2 linked regions of the Coturnix japonica genome follow. The protein of the gene in region 1 interacts with the protein of each later gene in a pairwise test. Links are inferred from orthologs where the notes say so. Each region holds a gene or a part of one and is shown in the gene's direction. Other genes may lie near its edges. The genes, in order: GPR37 and ADRB2.

Region 1 (4,511 bases):
CATTAACTCCTTTTATACACCAGCTGAGCTCCAAAGAATCAAATGGGGGAAAAAAATAAGAAAGAAAAAAAAAAAAAAAAAAAAAAGGTTAAATGTATTTACCATTCCCTTGTTCTCCTGCTATTTTTCTATTTAAAGACACTCTTGTTAGTTAAAAAATATTTACTACCTTGGTCATTTAAGTCCATGAGATGACACATTGCTAAGGAAGAATAATAGCATAACTTATATTAAGGAGCATTCCATGCAGCAGTGCCAAATTTATTATACCTGTTTCCACATGCTTAGAAACATTTCAGGCTGCCCACAGTTACATTCCAACTCTATGTGTGAGAATGGCGTCAGGAGCAGGATGGCACCTGGGTCCTGAGAGCTTTCTGTGCGACCACCATGGAAAGGCACTGCTCTTCAGTTAGTGTGGGACAGGATTCACTCCTTTTAGCCACTCAAAGGTCAATTTTTGTCATCCTTCTGGTGTAGGTAGTGTACTGGGGCACCTCCAGACACTCAATGTAGATGATGTTGGATGCTCCTGATCCCAGGCACTTTGCCCTCTGTTGAAAGCAAAGTCAGTCCAGCGAGTGCCTTGATGCAATGCTTCCCTTCTGCCACTTGGGTGGGTTATTGTTTGTCCAGTCCAGAAAGCCAACCAGATTCTGGGCTACATCAAAAGTGGCCAGCAGACTGAGGGAGGTGATCCTGCCCTCGGCTCTGTGCTGGGGAGACCTCACCTGGAACACTACCCTACCAAGACAGGCTGAGAGAGCTGGGGCTGTTCAGCCTGGAGAAGAGAAAGCTCTGGGAGATTGAAAACAGCCTTTCAGTACCTAAAGGGGGGCTCTAAGAAAGTAGAAGACAGACTTTAGCAGGGTGTGATATGATGGGACAGGGAGAAACGATCACAAACTAAAAGGGGTAAGATTTAGACTGTATATGAGGAAAGAGATTTTTAATAAGGGTGGTGAGGCTCTGGAACAGGTTGCCCAGTGGCGGTGGATGCCTTGTCCTTGGAGACGCTCAAGGTCAGGCTGGAGAGGGCTCTGAGCAAACTGACATAGCTGTAGGTGTCCCTGTTCATTGCAAGGGAGTTGGACTAGATGATCTTTAAGGTTCCCTTCTAACTCAAATAATTCTGTGAAATAAACTGTAAGAAAACAATCCATACAAAGAATCTTATGGGCATTACATCTTGCCTCTGCCCTGCGGAGACAAAGCAACAGCAGCGTGTTCCTGATTGCATCTGGCAGGTTGGCTCCGTGTGCGTGCAGCATGTATTTTCTGTCACTGCAGACTGACATTTTCCTTTGTTGGTCATTAAGACAAAAAGCCTGCAAACACACTCCTTGTGCTCGGGGTCGCAACACTTGTCCACAAGAGGAGCCCACAGCTCTGTTAGACGCACAGCCATGGAGCACAGCTCCAGCTGCTTACTGATCTAACAGAACGGCTTCAGCTCAAGGGTGGGGAACAAGAACACTTCTCAATGTGCTTCTTAGAAAGAGTGTAAAACTTTTAAAGGTGGTGGGGAGGAGCTGCACAGAGCTTCAGGCTACTTACAGGTTAGCGTATCCAACTTTGTTTAGCTAAAAAAACGCTTGAATTATATAAAAATCAAGGAAGCAAGAAGGAAGAGCTATAAAGTTTATCAGACAGAACAAGGACAACAAACATAAGCGTTAAAAGACGCTCAAAACAGGAAAATAAACTAACAAAACAAACAAACAAAAAAGCAGAGCAGCCTTCATGGGTCTCAGCACCATCCGGGGATGCCTCCGGCGCAGTCCAGTCGTAAGGGTGGTGCTTTGGGCCACATCTTCCATCACCGACTAAAATCGGACTCGCCGGAGCCGGATCGGTCCCTCCGTGCCGCCGGGCGGCGCTTGCGCACTGCGGGGCAGCCGCGCTGCTCGCCCGTCTCTCCGACGCGCCCCCAGCCGCCGCTGCGCCGAGCCGGGCTGGGCAGAGCTGGACCGAGCGGCACCGGGCTGACAGCGGCACCGGGCTGAGCCGGGAGCAACCCGCCGACCAGCACCTCTCAGCTCCCGCACGGAGCTGCGGTCGCCGCCCTCTCGCTGCAGCCGGAGGCGGGAGCATCCTGCAGGGGTCGGTCCCGGGACTGCATCTACCCCGAGCGCGTTGCTTGCCGACGGACGGAGTTTGGCAAAGATCTCAAACACGCTGCGCTCCGCGCGACAACCTGTTCTCTCCGGGAGGAGCCGGTGGCCGCGGTCACCCGGGTATGGGCGGCGTTCCCGGGGGACCTCTCCCAGCCGAGAGCCCCGCTGCCCGCTGTTGGATGTAAATAGGCGGCAGGCGGCGGGGCGGCAGCGCTCCCGCGGAAGGGCGGAGCGCCGGGGGGGGTCCTCCCGGCCCCGCACACGCTACATTAACTCCGCGCGGCGGAGGCGGCGGCACAACTTTCGGGCACTGCCCCGGGAGGCGGCGAGAAGCTCAGCTCCGAGTGCGGGTATGTCCCCCGCCGCCAGCCCCGCCGAGCCGAAGGGCAGCGGCTGAGCCCCGCCGCCTCCCGGCCATGCGGCAGCTCCGCGCTCCCCTCGCCCTGCTTTGCCCGGTGCTGGGCGCCTGGGCCGCCTGCGCCCTGCTCCCCGTCGCCGGCTCTGCTCTGCCGGCGCCCCCGCAGCGCTCCAGCTCAGCGCCGACGCCTCTCGCCCCCCCGGGCCGCCGCGCCGTCGCCGCTGTGCCCCGGCGCGGGGCCGAGGCGGAGCCCGGGCGGCGGCGGGCGCGGAGCAGCGAGAGCGGGGTCGGGGCGGCGGCGGGGAGCGGCCCCCGGTGGCTGCCGCTGAACGGCTCTGCCCGTGGTGAGAGCGCCGCCGGGGGCCGCGGCAATGGTACGGGGCGCCGAGCCCGGCTCCGGAACCCCTTCTACCCGCTGACCGAGGAGTCGTACGGCGCCTACGCCGTTATGTGCCTCTCCGTGGTGATCTTCGGCATCGGCATCATCGGGAACCTCTCGGTGATGTGCATCGTGTGGCACAACTACTACATGCGGAGCATCTCCAACTCCCTGCTGGCCAACCTGGCCTTCTGGGACTTCCTCATCCTCTTCTTCTGCCTTCCTCTGGTCATCTTCCAGGAGCTTACCAAGAAGTGGCTCCTAGAGGACTTCTCCTGCAAAATCGTCCCTTACATCGAGGTAACGGCGGGGCGAGCGGATCCCGGGCAGCCCTCGTGTCGTAGCGTGGGGTCCCGTGCTCCGGGGGGCGTCCCGTGGTCAGTCAGGGTGGCAGCTCCGGGATCCCCGTATCTCCGGCTGAGCGCTTCCTCTCGTGCGAGTTCTGCCAAACTTTTATCGCTCCTCGTGGTGCTGAAAAGGCGAGGAGTACTCGCAACGTTTGATTACAAGTTTTAGTCTTTCTTTCTTTTCCCCCCCCCCCCCCTTAAAGTGAAATGACTCGGGGATTGAGTTGGGATAGGTTGGAGGAGAGTTGGATTCATGTGCTGGAGATGAGGGGTGAGATGGAGTGGGAGCCCGGTATGCTGTCTCTCTCTGCTCTTCGCCCAAATCCTTCTGCTCAGTGTTATTCTCTAAACTGGAAGCTGAGAAGAAACTGTTGATTTGCTTGTAGTACAAATGCGATACTAGAGGTGTGAAAAAGGGAAGAAAAAAATTAACCCTGTTATTAATACATAGAATATCAGTCTCCACTATCAGCTGCCAAACGATACTTTTATGGAGGTCTTAAGATAGAGCGTGCAGCCACTACACTGCCATCACTTCTGTTCTGTGTGATGCACTCTGTTACTTGCAGTACTGGACAAAGAGTGGAGCTGTGATGTACTCAGAGGAACTGAAGCCAGTTAGTATACTGATGCCGTGATCTGGAAAGCTTAGGGTACACTCCATTGACCTGGGTTTGGGAAGAAGTGAAGGGTGAAATATGTATTTGTTGAGAATGCTAATAGGAGCTTTGGGCAGGAGCTTCTGAGAGCTCTGAATTCACTTCTAGGGATGCTGTGTTATCCAGTAGATGAGTAGTTCCTGCTTCAGTTAAAGTGTGACCACTTTATTTAAAGTAGTGATCTAAGTTTAGTATTTCAGTACTTTCCCCTCCCTTCTCCCCCCTTCTGAATTACCTGAGCTGAAATGGAGCTGTCAAATGTAGCTGTAATCCTGAAGGCATCAGGCAGCTGCTGACCCCTCCTTTATTCTCTAATGTCACCTTAGTTTTCACTTTAAAGTTCCTCAGATGCCCACAGCTGAACTTTTATTCAAGAACTGTCAGCCATCCACTGATGATGGACCAGCCCAATGGTGCCTGTCTGAGGCTTGGTCATTACTGGGGTCATTCTCCTCTTCCCAGAGGAAATTTAATTAAGTTGTATCTGAGGCGAACAACTGAGTAGAGAGAGCCTTGAGGTACCATGTCACTCCCAGAACTGTACATATTTTGTTCATTAGTCATTAAGTATAATACGCATGTAAAGAATATTCGTCACCCTGGGAGCAGTAAGTAGAAGAAAACACTGCTCATTGCAGGGGAGTTGGACTA
Region 2 (4,262 bases), on another chromosome or scaffold:
AATATAACATTAAAAATGCCAAAATACTGAGATAGAAGCTGGGTTTGCTGAGTTCTGCATCCCACACCATGGTGGTGATGGAGGCTCTGGAGAAGGATGGAGGGCCATTACCAGGATGTGCAGGATGAACAGACAGCTCAAGTGTGTTCTGCATGTGCTATGAGACACAAATCTGAGCTCCGACCCTCCCAGACTCAGTGTGTTTTCTCCTAAGCTCCCAAAGCTGCCTCTCCTCCTTTCAAGACAGCACTTCTTGCAAGGATAAGCATGAAATGTCTATTGGAACAAGGAACCTGATACTTCCTGAAAGTTGTGATTTAGTGTCAGAGCATTTCCTGATGTTAGCCTTACAGGAAGCAAACTTGCCAGTTACTACCATAGACTTACCTTGATCATTTGGCAGAGTTTTCTGACCAGGTCTTCAAATAGAGCATTGGACAGTGAGCTGAGCACAACATGTAGTTCCCACACTCATCACTTTTCCCTCCTGCTCTTCTCCCCCAACATTACATCTGATCCACCTGCATTTTCCTAGCAGTTTTCTGCTGTGTTCTCCCCATGAGGTGCATGCACCGTGCAGGAACCTCAGTGCACAGGAGCCTGCAGGTGTTAAGCCTGTATTCAAGGATGGAACAGATCCTCACCTGGTGCAAAGCCAGTGTGATGTTACAGCCTTCCACCAGCTGGCTGCAGCCATACGTTGCATGGATTGCGTGGATCCCTTTAACTCAATGGTGGGCACTGAAAAGTCCTGGTAATTAACTAAGGTCATTAGTGCTCCCCTGCACTCTTGGCTGCTTCACAAGCATTCCAAAGCCACCCGTTACAGCCCCTGAGCCAGAAGCACGAGCTGCTGCAACTGCAACTTCATCGTGTTTCCTGATTCCAGCACCTCGCTCACCCCTCGGTGTTAAACCACAAAGCTCCCCCTGCGTGCAGGCGGCTCCTGTATTGATAGCGCTGGCTGAGAGGCTGCGGGCAGCCCCCGCTCACATACGGTGCCACCTGCGGGACGGCAGCACGAGGAGATGGGACCCTTCCGTGCACAGCAATGCGCAGACATGGCGTTCCAGCCAGAACGTTATCTCTCGTGACACTGAAGTTTGTAGGATCCCTCAGCCCTTATTTAGGATATTTGTTCGCTTTGGTGGCAGGGAGCAGCGCAGAAGTCACATAACCCCGTGTCGGGGTGTCGGGGGGCAGCGGGACCGCAGCGTGGGGAGGGAGACGGACGCCTCCGTTCTCAGGCTGTAGCGTGGAGCTGGAACACGCGTGGGGCGGCTGCCGGGCCGGGGGGCACACGGGGGGGTGCGAGGTGCGCGCAAGGCGCGGCGCCGGCTGCCATTGGCCGTGTCGGGCTGATGTCACGGCGGGTGTTGCTATAAGCTCGGCGGCGCCGAACGGGCTGGGGACAGTCGGGCGGGTGAGACGCTGCGGGACGAGTTGGGTCGGGTGAGGAGCGGGGCGATCTGGAGCGGAGCGCAGCTCGTACAGCCCCGCACGGCGGGAGCCACCGCTCACAGCCCGCACCTGCTGTTCCCTATGCGCGGAGCCCGGCGAAACGCCACGACATCGGAACGCTGAGAGCAGCCCCCGCAGCCTGCCCGGGGATCCGGCTGGGGGGACATGGGGGTGGAGGGCACCGAGCTGCCCGGCGGCAACGTCAGTGCCAACCAGAGCGCAGCAGACCCCACGGTGTCGCGGGACGTGTGGGTGGTGGGCATGGGGATCCTCATGTCGCTCATCGTGCTGGTCATCGTCTTCGGCAACGTGCTGGTGATCACCGCCATCGCCCGCTTCCAGCGCCTGCAGACGGTCACCAACTACTTCATCACCTCGCTGGCGTGTGCAGACCTGGTGATGGGACTGGGTGTGGTGCCCTTCGGTGCCTGCCACATCATCATGGAGATGTGGAAGTTTGGGAACTTTTGGTGTGAGTTCTGGACCTCTCTGGATGTGCTTTGTGTCACCGCCAGCATCGAGACCCTGTGTGTCATCGCTGTGGATCGATACTTTGCCATCACCTCCCCATTCAAGTACCAGAGCCTGCTGACCAAGAGCAAGGCACGTGTGGTCATCCTGATGGTGTGGGCCATCTCGGCCCTCACCTCCTTCCTGCCCATCCAGATGCACTGGTACCGGGCAGACCGTGATGAGGCCATCCTCTGCTATGAGAAGGACACGTGCTGTGACTTCTTCACCAACCAAGCCTATGCCATTGCCTCCTCCATCATCTCTTTCTACCTACCGCTTGTGGTCATGGTATTTGTGTACGCCAGGGTCTTCCAGGTGGCCAAGAAGCAACTGCAGAAGATAGACCGGAGTGAGGGCAGGTTTCACATCCAGAACAAGGAACAGGACCAGAACGGGAAAACCGGGCACCGCCGTTCCTCCAAGTTCTTCCTGAAGGAGCACAAAGCTTTGAAGACCTTGGGCATCATCATGGGCACCTTCACGCTGTGCTGGCTGCCCTTCTTCATCGTCAACATCGTGCACGTCATCCAGGACGACATCATCCCCAAGTACGTGTACATTCTCTTGAACTGGCTGGGCTATGTCAACTCTGCCTTCAATCCCCTGATCTACTGCCGGAGCCCAGACTTCAGGTACGCCTTCCAGGAGCTCCTGTGCCTCCGCAGGTCTGCTCTGAAGATGTACGCTAATGGCTACTCAAACAGCAACGGCAGGAGTGACTACAACGAGGAGGAGAACGGCTACCCCCTGGCACCAGAGAAAGCCTGCGAGCTGCTCTGCGAAGAGGGCTCCTTCCCTCACCCTGAGGACTTTTTGCACTGCAAAGGTACTGTGCCTAGTGGGTAGCTCTGAGATGCGATGGGCTCTGGCGTGGCACACTGCTCCTAACGATGAGCCTTCCTCTAAGGAAAAACAAAAACCCAGTAATAATAACGATCCTCACCTAAAGCACACCTAAACCTCAATGGCTGCAAGGAACCTAAAACTCAGCAAACCTCCTGCAAACAGGTGGAAGGCTGCCCTGGGTGGCTTGGGTGGGCTGGCTGCTTGCAGAGGTTATGAATTTAAGTGCACGACCTTAGGTCCCTTGAGCCGGGGGGGTGAGGAGTGCTGGGGGATGGTATTTTAAGGCTGTGCAGAAAGCTCGTCCCAGGAAGAACTTCCTGGCTGTGGCCGATGTTGAACTACCTCATGAGCTCGGTGCTGGCGGCTGCTGCGGGAGCGCTGTGCTCCCCGAGCTGTGCAGCACCTGCCCCCATATCCCCCCCTTTAGGGATGCTTAGAGCTCTGTCGGCTGCGTCTGATCCTGTTGCTGTCAGTGGGAAAGTTTAAACAACGCCCGGAAAAACAGAACAAAACAAAACAAAAAAAAAACAAACCCACGACAACCACGAATGCGTCTTTTGCCAAGTGCTATAGGACTGTCCGCTGAAATAAGGATAGAAATAAACGGAGTCTTTGCCCAGAATGTGATACAGTGGGTGTGGGACTCAGGAACGTGATAATGGGAAGCTGGGCGATACGCTGCTGCAGTCGCAGCCCGTCCTTTTATCGAGACCGCAGCCAAAGCTCTTGTAGCCGCCCAGTTTAAATTCGGCTCTCAGCCCGTAGAGGTGGGCAGGGAAGGTTTTATTTTCTGTCGCTGAGGGCTGACAGTCCGGCAGCGCAGCCCTGGCCGCGGGACGGCTCTGGGTTGGTCTGTCGGTTTGTTTGTGAAGGGTTTTTTCCCCTTGCAGCGGGCTTTGCATTGCGTTCCCGCAGCACTTGGCGGCGGGCGCATGGGCTGTCACGGTGGCAGACGCGAGCGGGCAGGTGGGGACGGACGGACGGACGGACGGACGGACAGGGTGGCTGTGCTGCTCGGCGCTGCTCGGAGACCCCGCTGGAAGAAAGCAGCGATCGCGGGGCTGAAATGGAGCTCCCCCCCTTCGCTTTCTTCCTCAGCTGCAGTTTGAAAGAGGGGAGCCGAGGAGGATGTGAAAGTGCGGTGTCTATAGAAGCACGTGGGAAAGATGGGGGAGGGACGGCCCCGCGCCCCGTGGGAGCTCTTCTCCCCAGGGTTGGCACCGTTAATAGGAGGCTCGCAAAGACCTGGGCTGTTCTGCCCACTGTTCCTGCAGCCCCCGAGGGTGCGCCCAGGGAACGCTGGATGGGATCGGCTCATAAGGTGCTGCAAGGTGCAGGGTGGCTGCAAACTCATTCTTGAGCCCTTGGCGTTCCTCATGGTAAAGCCCCACCCGGTTTTGTGGGGAAGGGTTTAGAAATCCTCGTGCTCCCTTCTGCCTTCC

What was found.
Region 2: the proteins of GPR37 (region 1) and ADRB2 interact in a protein complementation assay, tested with the Homo sapiens proteins (2 studies listed by BioGRID and IntAct, with this or other methods). The link is inferred for Coturnix japonica from reciprocal best matches to the Homo sapiens genes GPR37 and ADRB2.

What each region holds. Positions count from the first base shown.
Region 1 is NC_029516.1:20,448,838-20,453,348, reverse strand, and holds the start of GPR37 (prosaposin receptor GPR37), read left to right. Parts: upstream 1-1,680; 5' UTR 1,681-2,533; coding exon 2,534-3,154; intron 3,155-4,511.
Region 2 is NC_029528.1:10,594,419-10,598,680, reverse strand, and holds the start of ADRB2 (beta-2 adrenergic receptor), read left to right. Parts: upstream 1-1,404; 5' UTR 1,405-1,626; coding exon 1,627-2,800; intron 2,801-4,262. UniProt on the Homo sapiens protein: Beta-adrenergic receptors mediate the catecholamine-induced activation of adenylate cyclase through the action of G proteins. The beta-2-adrenergic receptor binds epinephrine with an approximately 30-fold greater affinity than it does norepinephrine.